Linked DNA regions of Daphnia pulex. The protein of the gene in region 2 purifies or fractionates together with the protein of the main gene of each other region. This does not show direct contact. Links are inferred from orthologs where the notes say so. Each region holds a gene or a part of one and is shown on either strand. Other genes may lie near its edges.

Region 1 (9,201 bases), on a different chromosome or scaffold from region 2:
CACCATCGCTGAAAGCATACTCAAATTTGGCTATGAAAGAAATGTTTCTTTGAGAGGAGCACCATATGATTTCAGGAAAGCACCAAGTAAGAAATATTTTTTTTTCATTCTTTTGTCAAATAGTTCTTAGTGTTTATTTAAAAATGTTTAGATGAACTTCAAGACTTCTTTGTGAACATGAAAGCTCTTGTGGAAGATACATTCACTCAAACAAATGGACAGAAGATTGTATTTATTACTCACAGTATGGGATCTCCCATGACTCTCTACTTTTTAAACCGTCAGACACAAGAATGGAAGAATAAATACATCAAAACATGGATTTCTCTGGCTGGTTGTTGGGGTGGAACTATTAAAGCTTTAAAAGTATTTGCCCAAGGTCTGCACTAATCAAGTATATTCAGAGTAATATTTTGCATACTAAATATATGTTGCTCATTGCAGGAGATAACCTTGGAGTGCGTGTATTGAGTGAAACTGCGTTGCGCGAACAACAAAGGTAGCCTTTTTTTTCTTTGTTTTTAGCTTAAGCTTTTAGCTAAACCTTTTTCTTTTTTGTTTCTTATTTACGGCGTCCCTTTTTATTTCAAACAACCCAAAAGAACAAGTCCGAGTTTATCTTGGTTGATGCCGTCTGACAAGTTCTGGACAACGGATGAAGTGATGGTTCAGACTTCAAGTCGGAATTACACTATTCAAGATTATCAAGACTTCTTCCTGTAAGATACCCATGGTTATATAATGCTTTTGAATTCCTCTTTTGAGAGAAAGATGTTTTGTTTGTTCGTCTCCCTCATTCAGAGATATTGATTTCCCGCTCGGATATGATATGTGGCAGGACACGCATCCTTTGGTGCACGATTTGACAGCACCAGGCGTAGAGATCCATTGCATAGTATGTTCACTTGATAGCAGTTTTATCTACCCCCTCATTCATCTTCATTCGTTTGTTTATTTTTTGTGCAGTTCGGAACGGGTGTAGATACAGCTGAGCGTCTAGTCTACAGTAAGTCAACACCACTTGGTAAAGCCACTATCATTATGGGAGATGGCGATGGCACTGTCAATGTTCGCAGTCTTGCTGCCTGTAGTAAATGGACCAAGGAGCAGTCACAACCCGTCTACGTCCAAGCATTTCCGAAAAGAGACCACATGGCTGTACTCTATGTAATTATTCCTCCATTACGTTTATTCCGGTCGTGACCTATTCTCATTATTAATTTCTTTTTTTTTTTTTTAACATACACGACAGGATCCAGTCATATTAGATTACATTCAGCGAGTTGTTGCCATTAACCCACAAAATGAGGTAGACGAGAATTGAACCGGTTTGCATATTACCTTTTACTTTCGTTAATAACTCAACTAAAGTTTTCTCCTTGTAAAACGTGATACCCATTCTTGATTTGGTAAAATTCGACATCTCATTTACAACACGTATCGTGTCATTCTAAGAGTAGTAATATAAATTGTACATTCATTTATTGAACCTAACCCACAGCCTAAGCTATATACTTAGATAAAATACAATTGATTTGAAAATGAAATTCTTCGCTATTTATTTCCATCTCATTCGTGTTAATTCTTCTGAGGAGTGTGCATGTGAGGTTAAGAGTGGATGACAAAATAGGTTCCTAAAATTAAAATTGGGGATGAGGGGTGTGAGGACTACGCCGTATCGCGTGACACAAAATGCTACTCAACTGTTTAATTGTTTGTCTCCCTTTTACCCAACGCGTCCTATCAGGATGGGTTGGATTTAAAAAACAAAGGGGTTAGAACCATTGAAAACTAACTGCAAGAGAAAAACCACCCGATAAAGCGGTATTCAAGTCCATTTAAATTGGAAGTGAACGGGTAGGGGATGAACACATCGGTTTGAGGTTTTAAACGATACGGAATGGGACCTAGTCTATCTATCAGTCAGCCGCATTTACAGTTACAGCAGCGGGTTGAGCCGGCGGAGCAGTGGAGGCTGTCGTAGTTGAGGACTTGTCGGCAGCTAGCAAAACAGTATGTTGACCACCTGCAGAGGCCAAAAGGACCAGTCGGTTCTCTAACGCCTTGCCCTTAATAGTCGTCGGCTCCAACACATCATCTTCATGACCGAGACCGAGCTGGCCATTCGTGCCCATACCCCAGGAAAATGCCATTCCTAAAACACAATACAACAATTCAGAACACGGCTTAATTTCAAGAATTTAAAAAGTTTATCTTACCAGATTCTGTGACAGCCAAAGAAACAGATTCACCAGCAGTCACTTCGACACATTTCTGTGATTGAAGAGCAGGGATTGGCGTGGGGATCGCTAAGTCCTTGGCATCAGCACCCATACCCAATCGTCCGTATTCCTTTCGGCCAAGACTGTATACCTGACCTGTAAAAAATAAAAAGGAGTTGAAGATTAAAAAGGTTTTAAAAAAACTCTGTAAATTTTCTCTTTACCATTCTCGTCCAAGGCAAGTGTGTGATGCTGGCCACAGGAAATGCTCAGCCAACGATGACCCTTGAACCCATCGGAAACTTCAGGTTGGAAACGAGCGTCTTGGCTTGGTAATCCTATTTTTTTAGGGGAAAACAGGAGATTATCAGTCACACTCAAAAGAATAAAAAAGGCTTTGTTTGCTAAGTACCAAGTTGATTGTAGTTGTTCAGACCAAAGACATAAATGAGGCCAGTTTCTTTAGCACGGGCAAATGTGGCATAAGATCCTGTCCAAACATTATCGATAACAATCCGCCTCTTGCCCTTTCCCAACGCGACCGGCTGTGGAGTGAGTAGATAACTTTTGCCTTTTCGACCTCCTCGATTGGAGAAAACTTCAGCAACGCGACCCAACTGGCCCTGTTCGGCGCAACCACAAGTATAAACCTGTCCGTCGGAAGTAAGACATACTAGATGGTCGGCACCAGAAGCGATTTGTGTCATGGGGATGCCCTCCAGAATAGGAACTGGTAACTTCTGCGAACCAGATTCGTTCAATCCCATAGGCCCGTGAGAATCCTGTCATCAACACAAAAATTTGGTTAAGTTGAAAAATTCCATATGGCATAAAGAGAATGTATATTACGCGGAATGTGCCCCAGATAAAACAACGTCCATCTTCTAGTAAAGCAGCAGTGTGCGAATCTCCCGCCGATATTAACGTGGCTTTGCCGGGCAATTTGACTAGTCCAGGTTCAAATTCACTTCCTTCTTCGCTAGTGTCACGGCCTAAGGCTCCTTCATCATTACACCCAAAAGTGTAAATTTCACCTGAAAATAAAATCATAAAATTAGACTGTTTCTCCTAGAAAAATACGAATAAATTGTAAACTAACCTTTACTAGTAAGGCAGACCGTGTGCATACCACCGGCAATTACATCTATTACGTCTTTGACTTTATCCACTAATGCAGGTCGACTCTTCTCCAAAACATCAGGACCTAATCCAAGTTGGCCTACGTCCCCTTGGCCCATGGAGAGAACCATGCCGGTTCCTCGTGTGTGTCGGAATGGGACAACTATTTCAACTAGAAATGAATGCTGGTTACTGAAATGTTCCAAATAAATCAGGTTTTTTAATTATTTTCCATACTTTTAGGTTTCTTAGAAGCTACAACTTCTTTGACAGCCTTTGTTCGCTTTCTAGTTTCAGCAATCTCTGCTTTCTTTTTGCCAGTATCTTTTTTCTCTTTGACATCTTCTGCAGGGCTTTCTTCAGATGAGGATTCCACTTCAGAGGTTGACGATGCCTTCTTTGCTTTAGTAGCAGCAGCCTTTTTCTTTTCTGGTGTGGCCACTCTAGATACAAATATTCAAAAAATATTTAGTAAAAGGATTTTAAATGTTTAAAGACAGCAGTCAACATGATTTACTTGGGAACTTTAGAGATAGGTGCTTTGCCTGTTAGATCTTTCCTGGCCTTGACTGGTGAAGGTTTGGGCTTTGGAACCTTCACTACTTTTGTGACTGCTGTTGTTTCTTTGGCAACTGTTTTGGCAACCCGTTTAGCCTTTGGTGGTGGTGGTGCCTCATCTTCCGATTCTTCTGTTTTCTTTGCTTTACTTTTGGAAGCAGCTGGCGCTGCTTTGGGTGCTGCTTTAGCTGCTTTGGGTGCTGCTTTAGCTACTTTGGGTGATGCTTTAGCTACTTTTGGTGCTGCTTTTTTTGGTGCTGCTTTTGGTTTAGCAGGTTCAGCAGCTGGTACATCCTTGGCTGGTTTCACTGCTTTCTCTGTAACTTTTTTCACAGGGCTTTGGTCTGGACTAGCGGCAACTTTGGCTTTCTTGGGGGCTGCCTTTGGCTTTCCAGCGGGTTTGGCAGCTGCCTTTGCTGCTGGCTTGGCTGCTTCCACAGGTTTGTCTTCAACTTCAGCAACCTAAAAAGAAAAATACAAATTTAAGAATATACTTTTGTGGAAATGTCAAAAACACATACATGGCATATTTCCAAAAATCATACATAAAAAAATTAAGATCAACAGTTAGTTTCTAAAAAACCCAAAGCTAGTTGTGAAAATGTTTTCCCAAAGGTATGTCGAAGCTCAACAATGCTAACGGTTTCATGTGGACAACACAATACCGGCATCTACACACTATCGAGCCCCTGCTATTATTTCCAACAAACACTTAATAATGCAAAAAATATACATACCTTCCGTTTAACCATTTTTATTTGATATTATTTCACGTGACAAAACGAAATATAACTTGGCGGGAATACGACTGACGATGAATGAATGTCACCGATAGAGCACTTTTGGTTCGAGAGTCGGAACTAGTCAGAAAAAAAGATTGAAAAGTCTAGGGGGCGCTTGAACACGCGGGTCAGGCAGAGTTGCCATATTTTCCCGCTTCACTTTCGCCGTTTTCAAATATTTTTGCTATCGATATTTTAGATCGCACGTAGCCAACCATTCAAAATTCAAAATCCCATGTTTATTTTTAACGGTTTTATCTCGAGGTTAAATCGTCACATGATCGTAGATTTCATAGAATTTTGTTTATTTTGTTTTTTTCACAATTCGTATGCGATTATTTTATTTTATTTTTCTTTTAAACAAAGCATTGGAAAATATCAAGTAGTAAATCTGTAATTCTGTATTCATCCTTCAACATTATCATTCATTAATCTGCATCGGATAAGTAAAAAAAAATTCATTTGGCTTCTTCCGGTTACGTAACTTGTCGCATTATTCAAGTCCTTGCTTGATAGCCAGGGAAGCATCGATCAAGTAAATAACGGAATTGATTAAGCAAATCGCCTGTATAATAATAAAAATGTTTTTTTTTTATTAGATACACACCAAAGAAATATATTTAAAAGTTGTGTGCGTTACCCCAAGGGCGACTCCAGGCTCGTTGCCTGTCAGAGGTTTTAAATGTCCTTTGTAGTGCTCCAACACCAAACCTCCGACCGTTAAGAACAGCACAAAGCCGATAACGTTATAAATAACTTCGAGGAAAGGTGTGTAGTAATTCACAATGCCGGCCGGCGAGCGAATGTAAGCGAGAAGTAAAGGCCCTGTGCACACACATAAAGATTATGCAAATTGAATCCAATAAATATTTCAACACTTTTTTGAATGCATACCAGAGACGAGTAGCATCCCTCCGAATGTAACTATTCCAACTGAAAAATTCAAAATAAAACATTAAATTTTTACTCTTGTGAAACAGGAAGAATTATTACCGATGTAACGATCTGCGGCTGCCGAATCAGTTCCGCCAAAACTGAGTTTGTAGTGACGATAAACGACCAGGCAAACAACAGCTAAAGCCTGACAAAAGAACGTACATATAAACACACATTAAATACAAAAGACTGGAAATAATTCACACTTACCACTTCGGCAATTTTCATCGCTCCTCGAGCATGGGCCAGTGCACGTGTATCGGACATTTTCTTTAATTATTTTTTGGCTGTCGTTTCTTCGGTTGCTGGATGTGGAATGATGGAAAGATGCGCTTCAACTTGCAAATGTTTTATTGGTTGTATCTCGATCAACGTTCTTCTTCCTCGGTTTTCCCCTAGTCGAGTTCAACGGAATTTCCCAGGCGTTTTACTAACGATTCGCATTTGAGCCGACGACGCAAATAGAAAAAGACTTTCTCTCCCAAGGGAATTATTCATAAATTCGGAACTTAACTTTTCTGTTGAATTTCCGATTACGTAACAAGTTGAAAACAATTTTCTTTTAAAGTGCTGTGAGTTATGCGCATTAGAAGCAGCGGCGTGTAACACGTTAGAGAACATTATTCGTTACTTATGCGTGAAATGGAAAACCTTTTCAGTGTCCAGAATGGATGGATGCGGTTGACGGACGCCACGGTGATTGCGGCCGTTAAAGAAGAAAAATAGCGTCGCGTGTGTGTGGGATGAACAATAATTCTCATATCGGTCGAATGCATACAACACACTCGACGAATGAACGAAACGACCGCAGACGAAATTGCGGTCGCTCCTCTAAAAATGTTATAATTCACATTTTATAGGTGAGAATAAAAGATTCCGGATAAAAACATCACTTTTGGATTATTATGGCAATTTCTTTTAACTCAAAAGTATTCGGGTATAATTTGTTCACGTGGAAGGCGACAACTATAAAGCACATCGTTCATTATTGACCCACTGATGCGTAAACAATTCATCCATCCATGGCCACTTTCCCACATAATACGTGGGACATATTTTTCCCACCATCCTTATTGAAACGTTGCCAAATAATTTTCCCAACACGGTTCGTTATTGTACTATCCATGACGTCATATATTTATTTTTTAAGAACAAACATAAAACGTACACGGTAGAAAATTCTAAATTCACATGTAGGAAAAAAAAACAATAAATTTGTTATATAAGGAAGTTTGACGAGCTATTCTTGAAAATTCATTTTCACGAGCAAATGTGAATTTCTCGTGATTGAATGAGGATAACGCAGCAGCTCGTTCAGACGGTGGAACCTTGTCGGAGTGCCAAGGCAGCATCGGTCAAATAGAAGAAAGCGTTGATGATGCAAAGAGCCTATAAACAATTCATTAAAACGACATGAATAATTTAAAATTCTAAAGACTAATGTTTGTTTTAAATACCCCGAGAGCTTTTCCAGCATTAGCATTTTCGGTGTTGTTGCCGAAGCCGAAGGCTTTACCGATTCCGGAATCGGCCCATGTCGAGTTGTTAGTTCCGAGCCAGTTGTTGTTGGGATTGGTGTCTCCCCTGTTGTCGTTTCCGGTGTGAGTCACTCCGGCGTAGTTGCGGTAATGATCCAAGGCCAGCGATCCAACAGTCAAGAAGAGGATGAAACCCAAAGTGTTGTAGATGATCTCGAGGAACGGCTGGTAAGTTCCCGAAGTGCTCCACAGGTAGGAAATGAGCAGCGGCAGAGACACTAGCAGCATACCGCCCACCGTGACCAATCCGACATTGTAGCGATCGTGGAACGATCCCGTTGTGACGTCACCGCCGAAATTTAACGAGTACGTGCGGATCAGGATCAGGCAGACAATAGCAATAATCTTAAGTTTCAAAAAACAAAATGAGTAATTTTAATTCAATAAAAATTGATTAAAATGATTTTCTTACAATTTCAGCCAGCTTCATGAAGCCGTGAGTGCGAGCCAAAAGTCTGAAGTCGGCCATTGTCGGATGATTTGATGAAATTGTTTTACTTTTGAGGAAAGATGTCAAACTGTATTCCTTTTACTGCAGTCGGGCAATGACTAGTAAAGATGATGTCCGTCACTGCATCTTTTATGCTGGCCAGTTGCTCCTTGTTATTTCGCCAAAGGGGATGGCCTTTACCCAAAACGTTTGTTCGACAACCAGCCCTTCACCCTCCCTGTCATATTTTTTACTTGGAAATATTTTTTTCCGCATTATTGTGAATCTCATCTACTACGAATTGAAGACGACTCATCATTATTTTGTGGGCCGTTATCTCTATCAAAGCGTTCGCGAATCGTCCAATAAAAATGAGATACTTTTGTATTTGATGCCGTTGTTTCCACACGTCAACAGAACGTCATCTACTTAATTTCAGACTCTACACAATTGAGATTTTGGTTGCAGTGCCAATTTTCTTGATAAATTAGAGCACCGGTATCGGCAGTCGGATAGGACGTTATTACAACTTCATTTTTTTAAAATAGTATAGAAGGGCATCATCTCTAAATAGAGCTAATAAGAAATATTGTGTGATATTGGTTACAAGTTTGGTGTGTGTGATTTGCATGGTGGTGGCTCAACAGAAAAAATATGGTACACAACAAAATTCGTTGCCCAACCCTTTCGAAATGAAGAGTTGGAAACATCTAAGAAAATTTCTAGATAAAATATTAAACTAATTTTGTCTGATTGGATTTTGTGTTGAAAATTTGGTTTTCCTTGTTTTTGTGCTTCAGAGTTGAGATGAAACTGCCGAATTACTTGAGGAAAATTCGAACCAGAGAAACGATTGTGTTGAGCAGAAAGAAGAATGAATTGATGATGAGCATCGACTGTGTAAAAAAGGAGAAATTAAATACAAATTTAACTAAAAAGCAAAGTTTTAGGTGAAAAATTATACCCCGAGCGATCGCCCCGCATTCAAATTGCCTGGCCGATTGCGGTAGATGACGTAAAATTCAAGCGAGAGGATTCCGGCCGTCAGAAAGAGGACGAATCCCATCAGCGAGTAAATCAAATCCTATTCATCAAGTCATTAGTGGTGTCAATCATGATATAATGAAGTAAAAATGAGTGCCTATAACATACCAATCCTGGTCGAATTTCCGATCCGAAAAGGTGGGCCACGAAGATGGGAATGGTTACGAGCAGCATACCACCGATGGTCATGACACCGAAGAGGTAACGATCGTGATAGGAGGCCTGGTTGAGTTCTCCGCCGAAGGATAAATTGTAATAGCGCAACAGGGCGATGCAAATGATGGCCAGCAACTATATACGAGCGCGGTACCGGAGGGGGAAGAGAAAAAAGACAATAAGATTACACGCTTCAGACATAAGAGTTGGAGGGGAAATTGTCTAAAAAGAACACGACCGAGAGAGTCAGTCCCGCCTTTGACTGTCAAATAATCCAATACACTATAGTATTTCATGGTGGAGGGTAATAATAACCGCAGGGGGAAGAGATATACTACCCAAAACAATCATTTCTTTATCATCAGTTTCTTTATATTTTTAACCCTGCCGAGTCTATCTCGGAGATTGGATTATCG
Region 2 (10,398 bases):
AATTAAAATCCGGTCCAAGAGGACATCCTTGTTCTTGTGATTGTTGTTGAAAACCGGGGAGAGCGAAGTGAAGGGGATTCTCAACTGCCGTAGCGACTCGACTCGACTGAATCTCTTGTAGCTGCTGCTGAATGCTGCTAGCGCCAGCCAGACCGAAATGCGCTACCAACCGATAAAGTGAAGGGGAAGAAGAAAGCGGGTGGAAAAGGAAACCGGAGGAAGAAAAGAAGGAGAAAGAGTAAGAGATGATAAAGGAGAAGAGGCTCAACAGGTAAGAGAACCCGTCAGGTAAGGGAATCGGGCAAACAGCCATGAATGTTATAACCATGAATATATACTTCCACCCTCCTCCATTCTCTCATTCTTTTGCTACTCCCCAAGCAGGGAAAACCGTCAACCAAAATCCTTTCTATTTCTGCTTAATTCCTACTCGGTTTCCTTGTTCAGGTGCCATTTCCCAAATGAAATGGAGTGGACGACCATCATCTCCGACCTTCTAATTTCCTACTCTGGCTTAGATTATTATCTCATACGGTATTTTTATGCTATACACATGTTGGAATCCGTTTCCTTTGGGGGTATTTTCTGGGTTAACTGCAGGTCCGCATAACATCCTCTAATAACATTCACTGGACCATTTAAAAGAAAAATTCACTTTGAACATAGATGATTACTCCACAAATGAAAGAATAAAATGGAGAAGATAAAAGAAATGTGTTATGTGATCGACACACTTTTTCCACAAAGTTCGCGATTGTGAACGAAGGCCAAAATTTTCTTGTACAGTTTTCCGGGATATGAATAACTGTACGGTACATACGGCCTTCGGGCTACTCCAGCTGGCCATGCCTATGCCCTATACTCACGTGTTTGTAGGCGACGCTGAGACCGAGACGGGAAAAAAGATGATGCCCTTTTTCTTAAAAAAATACGGCTTTTTCGTCCTTAACAATGCATAACAGTCCAGCGGATTCCAGCACGGTAAAATCTAACATAGCACAGAGGTGTGTATTAAATTGTTTGATATATTTACACACCTTTACCGTAAGTCGACCGATGCTGGCTTAACTGCTGCCAGCTACCTCTACTTCCTGGTTACAAAAACTTTTCACCATTAACTATTTGGATAACTGATTTAACAACCACAAAATCTAAAGCTTCATTAATCAATCGTGTGAAACGTTAAGGTTTTTCTTTTGAAACCTGTAAAAAAAAAATTAGACCGAAAATCACAACTTGAATATATTTATTTTAGAAATGACAAGAAGTAAATCACATTTACTCTCGACAAAATCAACATTGGTTTAGAGTGAAAAAATGGCAGGCATCAACACATTTTTTCCACTGAAAATAGGGATAACGATTCCCAGTAATTGAGCATTCAAATTTAAAATATCATACAAACCGAAGTAAAGAAGATTGATTCAAAACCGATTAAGTCATTTTTTGAAAGGGAAAGGAATGTCCCGTCTCTTTGATTGCTTCATCATAACTCGATCGTGTTAAAATACCGTAATGAAGGCGAGTAAATTTTGTGTTTTTAAGGGCCCGCACTTCGCACATTTATTAGTCACGTTAAGAAGTAATGTCCGTCACATTTACACAGTTTCAGATACACCGGAGAAGATCCATTCACACACTTTGCTTTCATTACATATAAACCACCCTTGTACTTTTCGTATAATTAAGCAAACTCACAATCACACCACCTGTTCCCCCCACAGCCAACCAAATATCAGATATTTAGTCATTTCAAAATATCTACCTATTCGTCCTTTCTTAAACGACGACTATTTTCTCAAGGTACTTGGTATTCTCATTTACAAAGCGAATGACTCAACCAATCGAGCGAAACCTAATTCCCATTAGAATTTCTGAATTTGTTGACAGATTTTAAAACAAATAAAAAATAAAGATTTTTAAGACTAACTTGGGACATGGAAGATATTGATTAGCAATTAATTGGAATGGTACCGAGAAGCACACATAATCCCTTTCAGTAGCTGATATCTTTCCCAATGTTAGTCGGGGGAACCTTTAAGTTTCTTGACTTGCCTCAAGAAACCTCCAAAATACACACGCACGTTCACACATACACACACACACACACACACACAGAATGTAGTCAGTATAAAGTCGTTTTTCTCGTTATCAGTCGTTGATTAAGCTAAATGTGCAAGCCCTTCCCTTTTTTCTTGGATTAAGAGGAAAACCTTAACTAGATAGAAAGGGGTTTAGGAAAGAAGTTGACAGAACAGGTTTGACACTAGGATGTCCTTGAGTGCAAGATTCCTTTTCGCTCACCCATTTACTCGCTTTTTTCCCTTTCAATCAAACAACTATTTCGTCTCATTTTCTCACATCCTTTCCAAATAGATCAATTGGCCGACAACGTCCCATTCACACACATACAAACATCATGGATACATACATACACACACTCTCTCATACATCCGTTCGGACATTCGTACAGCGTTCAACCAAAATAAATGAAAAGTGAAGGGAAAAATTAAGACTGAAATGGAAGGGCAAACAAGTGCTGGCAAGGAGGAATAGTTGGTGCGATGGTATCCGTAAAAAAAGAAGGAAAGACAGAAGAGATAAGAGGATGGAAGACTGCGTGAATGTGTACTGAAGTGAGGAATAAGTTTTGAAAAGAGATACTAGTAGGCAAAGTCCGATTCACTTTCATCCACCACTCACGCTTCATCATCAAATGTTCACGTTTTTCTCTTTTGCCTCACGCGCATGCGTACCAATCATTTGGCCAATCTGTAACAGATAATAAGACAAAGAATCGCATTCATATCCATACTCTTTCACTCTCAATCAACCTTACAACCAATATTTAACATACTGTACGTACCTAACCTAAAATAAAGTAAACTTAATCTTTTAAAATAAAGTAAGGTATTTTAAGTAGAAAAATAATAAAGAATTTTGCGTTCCTCTGATTTTAATATTTAAAAAAACTAGCAGCTAAAACACTCACCAACTCGAAGTAACGGTGGCCTTCAGTCGGCGGATTTCCTTCGTGGCCCAGTTAGACAGAGTCTTTGTCTTTCCCGTTTTAGATCGTCGTCCAATAGTCAGCATGTCGGTGATTGGTTCAGTGTCAACGAAAGGCAGCAATTGATGTCCAAAGGCAGAGCAAAGATCGCTGAGAGAGAATTATATTAAATACAAGTACTAGCTAAATAAAAAATGATCCTGTACCCAATAAGACCAGCGGCGGCAGAAATGGTGCCATCTGATTTCTCCCGGTCTCTCGCAATCGTAGTGATGAAGTTTATCATGTGGGGAACATGTGGAAGTATAAGCTGGACATCATTTCCAATAGTTTCTTTGTCTTCCCCTTTGAGACCCTGAACAATTCCAGTGTATGCTTCAAGGCAGCATTCGCGCAGTTCATTCAAATAATCCATGATATCAAAATCATTCTGCAAATAACCAAACATTAAAACCAAACACTTTCAAATTAAACGAAATTGTAATTACTCGGTTGACTTGGGCTTGAGATGCTTGGTGCAGCATGCCAATAACCAATTCAAGATACTTCTTGAATTCTGGGCCGATTGCCAAAGCCATATCTCCGAATACAGCCAAAATCTGGGGTTTGACTTTTCTATCAACTTCGTTGTTGCCAAGGGTCTCCAATAGAAGCGACATGATTGAATCACAAAAAGGCAAGATCTTGGCGCCTAGAGCTCGGCAAATGTCGCCAACCAGTCCGACGGACGCCTGGCAGATGGTAGTCTCGGCGTGGTTTCTCAATCCCATGATAAGGTAGGGACGGAAGGCTTCCATGTACTTGATGAATCCTTCGCCAAGGACTTCCGTCAATGTTGCCACTGCCATCAACGCATCTTCCTGAACACCACCAGCACGATTTGGCCCAGCGCTCGAATTGAACATCTGCAGCAAGGCCGCCATGATCGGGTCAGAGATCTTGGGAGCATCTTCTGGGGTGACTTTACGAAGCACGCTCTGTAATGTGGCGCAGAGCAGCGACTGAAGATCGTTGTATTGGACTCTATCCGAATGCGACGACACGTGGGATTCCATGTTAAGAACCTAAAAAAATTTATCCGTTTTACAATGCCAAAACATGCTTTAGAGTAAGTGATAATACCTGTTGCAATCTCTCCAAGATGACCATTGTGGTCTTCTGTACAGTAATATAGCAATCTTTGGGCGAGTTCTTGACCATTTCCATCAAAGCTTCATAGGCAGCAGCACGGAGGTTAGCTTGAGCAGCATCAGGCCGATCAGTCGTTTCCAATAGCTTTTGAACGATGGGCTCAAAATATTCAGACAGGCAGTACGAATCTGGTTCATTTCCATCGGTAGCCTATTCAACTCAAGAACATAAATTTAGGTTTATTTGAACGTAGTTACAAATTTTCAGTGTTACCTGTGAAGCAGTTTCATAGGCAGCTTCAGCCAGGCTCGAGAAAGCCCAGCAAACATTAGAAGCGACACGAGGCTCAGCAGTCAGTCCAGTAACGAGAGCCTGAAGCAGTGGCTGAAGATTGGGGGGAGCCACAGCTGCATCGGGGATGATTTCACAAACTCGTCCAATCGTCCAGGCTGCAGTGTCACGTACATTAACGCTTGTATCATGCATCAATTTGAAAAGGAAAGGCATAGCTTGTTCAACAATAGGTTTTAACTGAACAGCATCAGGTCCTTCAAGGATAGAACCAAAAGCCATTACGGCGGCGTCACGGAAACGCCAGTCTGGATTCTAAAGTTGTTGAAAAACGAAAATGTTATTGTACCAAAAATGTGATTTCAAGAACTGTATCCAACCTCAATGTTCTCCTTGACGAAAGGAAGGACGTGAGGAACGATGACATCTTCACAGCAGTTGGCTAACAACATGAGACACACACCGGCAGCCTTACAGGGATTCCAATCGTCTTCATCATCATACTCTTCTTGTTTAGTCAACGTTTGCATCAACACAGGAACTAGATATTGAAGAGCTCCCTTTGCGTAGAATTTAGACGTATGTTCAGGCGGACGGCCCATTTCAGCAGCTTCGCTGGCCTCGATAGCCAAATCCACCTCTTCGTCACAAACGTTCGACCAGAACTCAATACCTTGCAGTGCGATTTCATCAATCTCCGACCTCATCGCTTCCAGTGTAATCTATTCATAATAATGAGTAAAAACTTTAAAATTTGTATAAATTTTTTTGTCAGTTTGATTAACTCACCGCAAAAAGTGCTGGCCCCATGTAGTGCTCCATGTATTGGTAATATAGGGACATAATTTTGACCAGACATTGAAGTGCTGCAACCCGTACTTTTGTGTCGGGAGATTGCGTTGCTTCACACACAACTTGCATGATGAAGTGCCGTTCACTCTACACAATTAGAAAGCGATCAGTAATAACAAACGTAGGTATTCAAATAGTAAAATACATACTTCTTTGTCGAAGTTAGCTTTAGTGAACTCCAATGAATTCAATAGCGCAGTTGTGGCAGCCAATCTGACGTGATTGCTTGGTTCCTCACGTTTCATGCCATGTACGATAGCAGTGAGAATCTCGTTCGACTGAGTAGCTAGTACTTCAGCATCCTGCATTTTTAAAACATATTTTATAATTTTCTCATCCAAATTATGTAATACTTGAATCACTCACAATATCCTGGCAAATATATCCAATCGTTTCCAGAGTGGCTTCCCGAACCATTTCTGTGCTGTTAGCTGCAGTGACATTGGCAACAAGTACAGATATCAATTCTGGCCACTGACTGACTGGTAGTTCAGCAACTGCCATGTACGCAACACATTGAGCAGCAGAGCTAGGGCGGATGGTCTCTGTACCCAAAGCAGCTAAAATGTTCTTTTTTACATAGGTCCTTAGATCGTGTGGGAATGACAACCATCTCTGCTGGTATTCCAGCTTGACATCGGTATCTTTTGAAGTCAAGCAATTTTTCAACTGCAGACCAGCTGCCATGCGGGCAACAGGGCTATTTGCTCCATGGGCAAGAATGTCAGACAAGGCTCTGATGAACTCAACCTATGTGAGAAGTACAAGTTTAGCAAAGTAGAGACTTAGTTTGAATTTTAAATTTATCTAGCCAAACCACATTTGATACAAGTTTTGCTTAGCAACACAAAAATGGGAGAAAAGTTGGTTGAAACAAAGAAAGTTGCTTACCAGATTGCCTCTTGCTGCCTGTTCAAGATAATTTTGGGCTGCTTCCAATTCATTCTTCTCTGTTAGACAAAACGTGAATGACAGTTACTAAAACCATTCAGTGTTCGGGAAAAATCAATGGCGTTGTAACCATGCCGTTGTAGAAAAAAGTAAATTTAAGTAACTAACCTGACGATACAGTTTTCTCCAAAATTTGAATTAGTTGAATATTTGGTTCGGGCACCATTTTCCCTCCTTTTATTAATAAATATCACAGATCTTTCAGTCGTAAAAAAAACTTCTAGGACTTGTTAATAGCTAGGCGTGAAAGAATCAGACGGTTAAGTTCGTCTCAACCGGCGAAGGGCGAACACATGTGGCGAAAAAAAAACCACCAGTTTTTCTCAAGGAAAAGCGACCTCTATTTGAAAAAGAATTACACGAATTTTTTATATTCAACTAATGACCAAAAATAAAATATATTAAAACGACGTACTGTGAAAAATAAAATTTTTCAATTATTTTAAATCTAATCATGAATCTTTTTGTTAAAGAATGTAGTATTTCAATCGGATCTATGTAGTCCATGCGTAGGGTTAAGTTAACTTCCGCTCTCATAAAATGGCGGCAAAGTGATTACGAAAAAATGTGATTGTTTAACCAAGAGTATCCAAAAATTATGAAAACTCTCCGGGGAAAACTGCATTTGATTAATTGGAATTAAGGAAACGCCATTTTGCCACTACAGTTGAAATTTGATTTTCAACTTTAAAATAATCAACTTGCTATCCTTCGAAGTTAAGAAAAGCGTACTGCCCTACATAGTTTCTTAATTAGAGTCAAATTTCACTAAATTATAATTTTTGTAGGCTGCTATGATATTTATGAGTCCGTCAATCCCACAGGGAATTGGAAGCTTTTTCGGTTAGTAACTGTCAGAATAGATGGCGCCAATTTGAAATTTGAATCAATAGAGCAGATTTCTATATTTTAAAATATTGCTACTGCTTTAACTTTTACGAATAAATTGTTATAGTTCCTAAAATGAAGAATAATTCGTTGTTCCTTGTGAACCATGATTAAAATGCAACCTATTCTCAGCTGACGACGCCCGTTAATGCTGCAACACGTACTGACTTGAATTGTATCCAAGCATTTCGTCATAGATTCGACAGGATAGTCAAACTATTAAAATGTAAAAAAACTTACATCAAAATGAAAAGAAAAATTGTCCTACGTGCGAATAGAAAACATTTATTACAAGAATAATCCAAATTAAGTATCGTTGTTGAAGGACGACAGGTACCGCCACTATCGCGGAACCAGGTAGAAAGGCAAAAACGTAACCATACTGAACGCTCTCTGTTTGTCTGCAGAAAATCAGTAGTCAATAACTTTGATAACACAATCTGTCTGCTGTCTACGTGTTTAAACATGGCAACGAATAAATAAATTTTGTATTTTTACTTCCATAAAAATGAGCCATTTCGTCACTGACGTACTACTCGTGATTCTAGGATTGGTGGCTTCCGTTATTATTGTTTTGAGCATTGTTGGAATTGGTAAGTTGTTTACGCAATATTAATATGCATGGGCGAAGAACATCAACAACAGTTATCTTTATGTCTTTTTTTAAATTCATGATAAAAATTTTGTCCTTGATGCTTATTTTTAATCATATGCTTAAACCTAAAAAACATTCTAATCTATTGTGTTTCTAATCAGGTTGGTTTCTAGTTTGGAAATTCTTCTTGTCACGATTCAAGTTTGTTAGGGAGTTGCTGGGAACTGTATCTGACCCTAAACCTGAAGCATCTGCTGCTGAAGCAACAGGCAGTCGCATTAGATCAAGACCCAGAAAATCTCGATTGGATTGACTTTGTGTATTCATCATATTGTGTTGTATTTAAACTAATCACTATGGTTGTGAAAGTAGCAGTGATTGGAGCAGGTGTGACTGGCCTGAGTGTTGCAACAGTACTTCAAGAGAAATTCCCCAATTTACCTATTACCCTTTTTGCCGACAAATTTAGCCCTGGAACAACAAGTGATGGGGCAGGTATAGTTTGTTCATCAACAAAAGTTTTTTATAATATAAGACTACATTTCTGTTTTTGTTTACATTATTAGCTGGACTTTGGATGCCTTTCTTGTTGGGAGACACTCCTGAAAAAGATGTTTAGTAAGTTTCTTTCTAAAGTTAAAGCTATATTTAACTTTTAATTCTATTGTTTGTAGTGTTTATTCCAAGGATACATGGATTTTTTTAAAGAAACTATGGGACTCTCCTGTAGGAGGAAAACTTGGAGTCTCTCTTGTGCCATGTTTGCAGACTTCTGACACGGTAAATCCCGTGCCCATGTATAGCGATTTCGTCTATGGATTTCAAGTTCTTACAAAAGAAGAATTGGCATTGTACAATAAGCCTGAATGGAGGTCTGCTAATATTGTTATACTGCTACTGCATCGTGAGTCACAGTGAAATTTATTTTTAAATCTTGAATCACAGGCAAGGCTACCGTTTTGTCACCTTTATTTGTGAAGGGTCTAAATTAATGCCCCACCTGCTGGAAGAATTTCGCTCAAAAAATGGCATCGTCATAGTCAAACGACTTGAAAGTCTCGAAGAGATTGCTTCCGATTTTGATGTCATTATCAACTGCTCCGGAATAGGAGCCAAAGAATTGGTCAACGACATATCAGTCCACCCAATCCGGGGACATATCTTTCGCGTAATTAATTCACTGCATTTAGATACACATCGAATTTATTTCAAGACACTTGTCGCTTTATTCAACAGGTGAAAGCTCCATGGCAAAAATCGATATTAATCGATGACAGCGACAAAGGAAACTATATTATCCCAAAGTATTATCCGCTAACATAGATTCCCTCTTTTAATTCAATTTTAATTTTTGCGTTCTTACCTTGACAGTCAGGACAGTGTTGTCCTGGGCGGAACGCACGACAAAGATCAGTGGGACATTGTTCCAAGAAAAGAAGATGCCAAATTCATCCTGGATGGTTGTACTTCCTTGTTTCCGTCTCTAGAGGTAAACGCAAAGCAAATCGCCAGCCCTTTTGGGTTTGCCTGCAGTACCCATCTATTTTCCACTTTAAATTTGCCTATTAAAAACAAAAAAAACTTGGTTATTAACGGGTACCGTTGAACATTGTCTAGAAAGCGGAAATTTTATATGAGTGGGTGGGATTGCGACCAGGTCGCAATCAACTACGCGTTGAACTCGAAAAGAAAACAATCAACGGCAAACCTCTGACTGTACGTACTACCTTACTACTGACTAATTTCTCTGCCTAATGTGTTGTAACCGCTTAGGAATCATCTTAATTGTTCTTTTTTTTTTTTCCTTCATTACGGTTGTTGTTTCGGCAGGTCATACACAATTACGGGCACGGAGGCTCGGGTCTGACCACGTTTTACGGATGCGCCTTGAAGGTGGCTAATCTGCTTCAAGGGACCTTAACTTCAGAAAATTATTTGGCCTCGAAGTTGTGATACATAATCATGCAATAGAAGAAAAAGAAAAGGTGTCTACACATTTTTTAAAAAAGGTTCGTCGTGCTGGTCTTTGCGTCATTCGCTTTTTGTTTGGTTAATTCACGGGGAACGAGATATATCACAATCCCTTTCCGGCTCATTCTGCGAATTACCTCATCACGTACTCTGGGACCTTTCACATAATAGTTAGTTGTTTCATCTATTAGATATCACCCAGCTATAATTCTAGAAATGATGGATTTGTCAAGTTGAACCGCACTTGTTGTTGTTCGCCGATTTTGTGGGGTAAAACTGACTGTAATAACATAAAGAATACAATAACCCGTGTGTTGCATGGATTGGAAAGACATGTGTCTAAGCTGTCGTCTATTGAGGGGGCGTTTCCAGGACAAGAGGATATCATCCACGGTTTTATACGTGTGAGGCCCCCACACACACATCACATTGCCAGCGGTCCACAAACATGGAAAAGCCAGAATGAAATCAAAGGAGAAAATAAAATAAAAATAAAGGATGAGACGACTGTGAGAGTTATAAACGCGGAGAGAACAGAATTGTGTGGAATGTCGTTGTCTCTGTTGGTGCACCGCCATATGTTGGTGTCTTACTGGCTGTTGAAAGAGACGCCACAAGGACCCCTCCCTTATTTGTTGAGTAGCTTTTGTCGACCATTGTCTAATAAGAAGAAGAGTGCGAAGTCAAAGAAACATTTGCGTGTAGTGTC

The links. Proteins that work in one complex are often made in the same cells at the same time.
Region 1: the proteins of importin subunit beta-1-like (region 2) and regulator of chromosome condensation-like purify together in Homo sapiens (affinity purification with mass spectrometry; 3 studies listed by BioGRID and IntAct, counting the BioPlex papers as one, with this or other methods). This does not show direct contact. The link is inferred for Daphnia pulex from reciprocal best matches to the Homo sapiens genes KPNB1 and RCC1.

The regions. Positions count from the first base shown.
Region 1 is NC_060019.1:10,919,773-10,928,973, forward strand, and holds regulator of chromosome condensation-like, read right to left. Parts: upstream 4,795-9,201; 5' UTR 4,652-4,794; coding exon 4,637-4,651; intron 4,362-4,636; coding exon 3,859-4,361; intron 3,785-3,858; coding exon 3,579-3,784; intron 3,514-3,578; coding exon 3,322-3,513; intron 3,257-3,321; coding exon 3,072-3,256; intron 3,005-3,071; coding exon 2,635-3,004; intron 2,561-2,634; coding exon 2,447-2,560; intron 2,379-2,446; coding exon 2,220-2,378; intron 2,156-2,219; coding exon 1,920-2,155; 3' UTR 1,535-1,919; downstream 1-1,534. Other genes in the region: phospholipase A2 group XV-like, read left to right, coding at 1-86, 152-379, 445-499, 603-719, 802-895, 967-1,167, 1,253-1,324; protein snakeskin-like, read right to left, coding at 5,175-5,246, 5,322-5,506, 5,576-5,614, 5,675-5,762, 5,828-5,884; uncharacterized protein LOC124190640, read right to left, coding at 6,932-7,006, 7,075-7,500, 7,568-7,624; uncharacterized protein LOC124190641, read right to left, coding at 8,407-8,481, 8,550-8,669, 8,738-8,920. UniProt on the Homo sapiens protein: Guanine-nucleotide releasing factor that promotes the exchange of Ran-bound GDP by GTP, and thereby plays an important role in RAN-mediated functions in nuclear import and mitosis.
Region 2 is NC_060020.1:1,458,640-1,469,037, forward strand, and holds importin subunit beta-1-like, read right to left. Parts: upstream 6,592-10,398; 5' UTR 6,402-6,591; coding exon 6,344-6,401; intron 6,235-6,343; coding exon 6,176-6,234; intron 6,035-6,175; coding exon 5,651-6,034; intron 5,587-5,650; coding exon 5,434-5,586; intron 5,372-5,433; coding exon 5,222-5,371; intron 5,155-5,221; coding exon 4,813-5,154; intron 4,748-4,812; coding exon 4,415-4,747; intron 4,352-4,414; coding exon 4,133-4,351; intron 4,075-4,132; coding exon 3,499-4,074; intron 3,441-3,498; coding exon 3,217-3,440; intron 3,161-3,216; coding exon 2,993-3,160; intron 2,773-2,992; coding exon 2,772-2,772; 3' UTR 1,230-2,771; downstream 1-1,229. Other genes in the region: chitin synthase chs-2-like, read right to left, coding at 1-328; D-aspartate oxidase-like, read left to right, coding at 8,075-8,213, 8,285-8,336, 8,393-8,590, 8,664-8,886, 8,955-9,022, 9,090-9,207, 9,336-9,434, 9,549-9,671.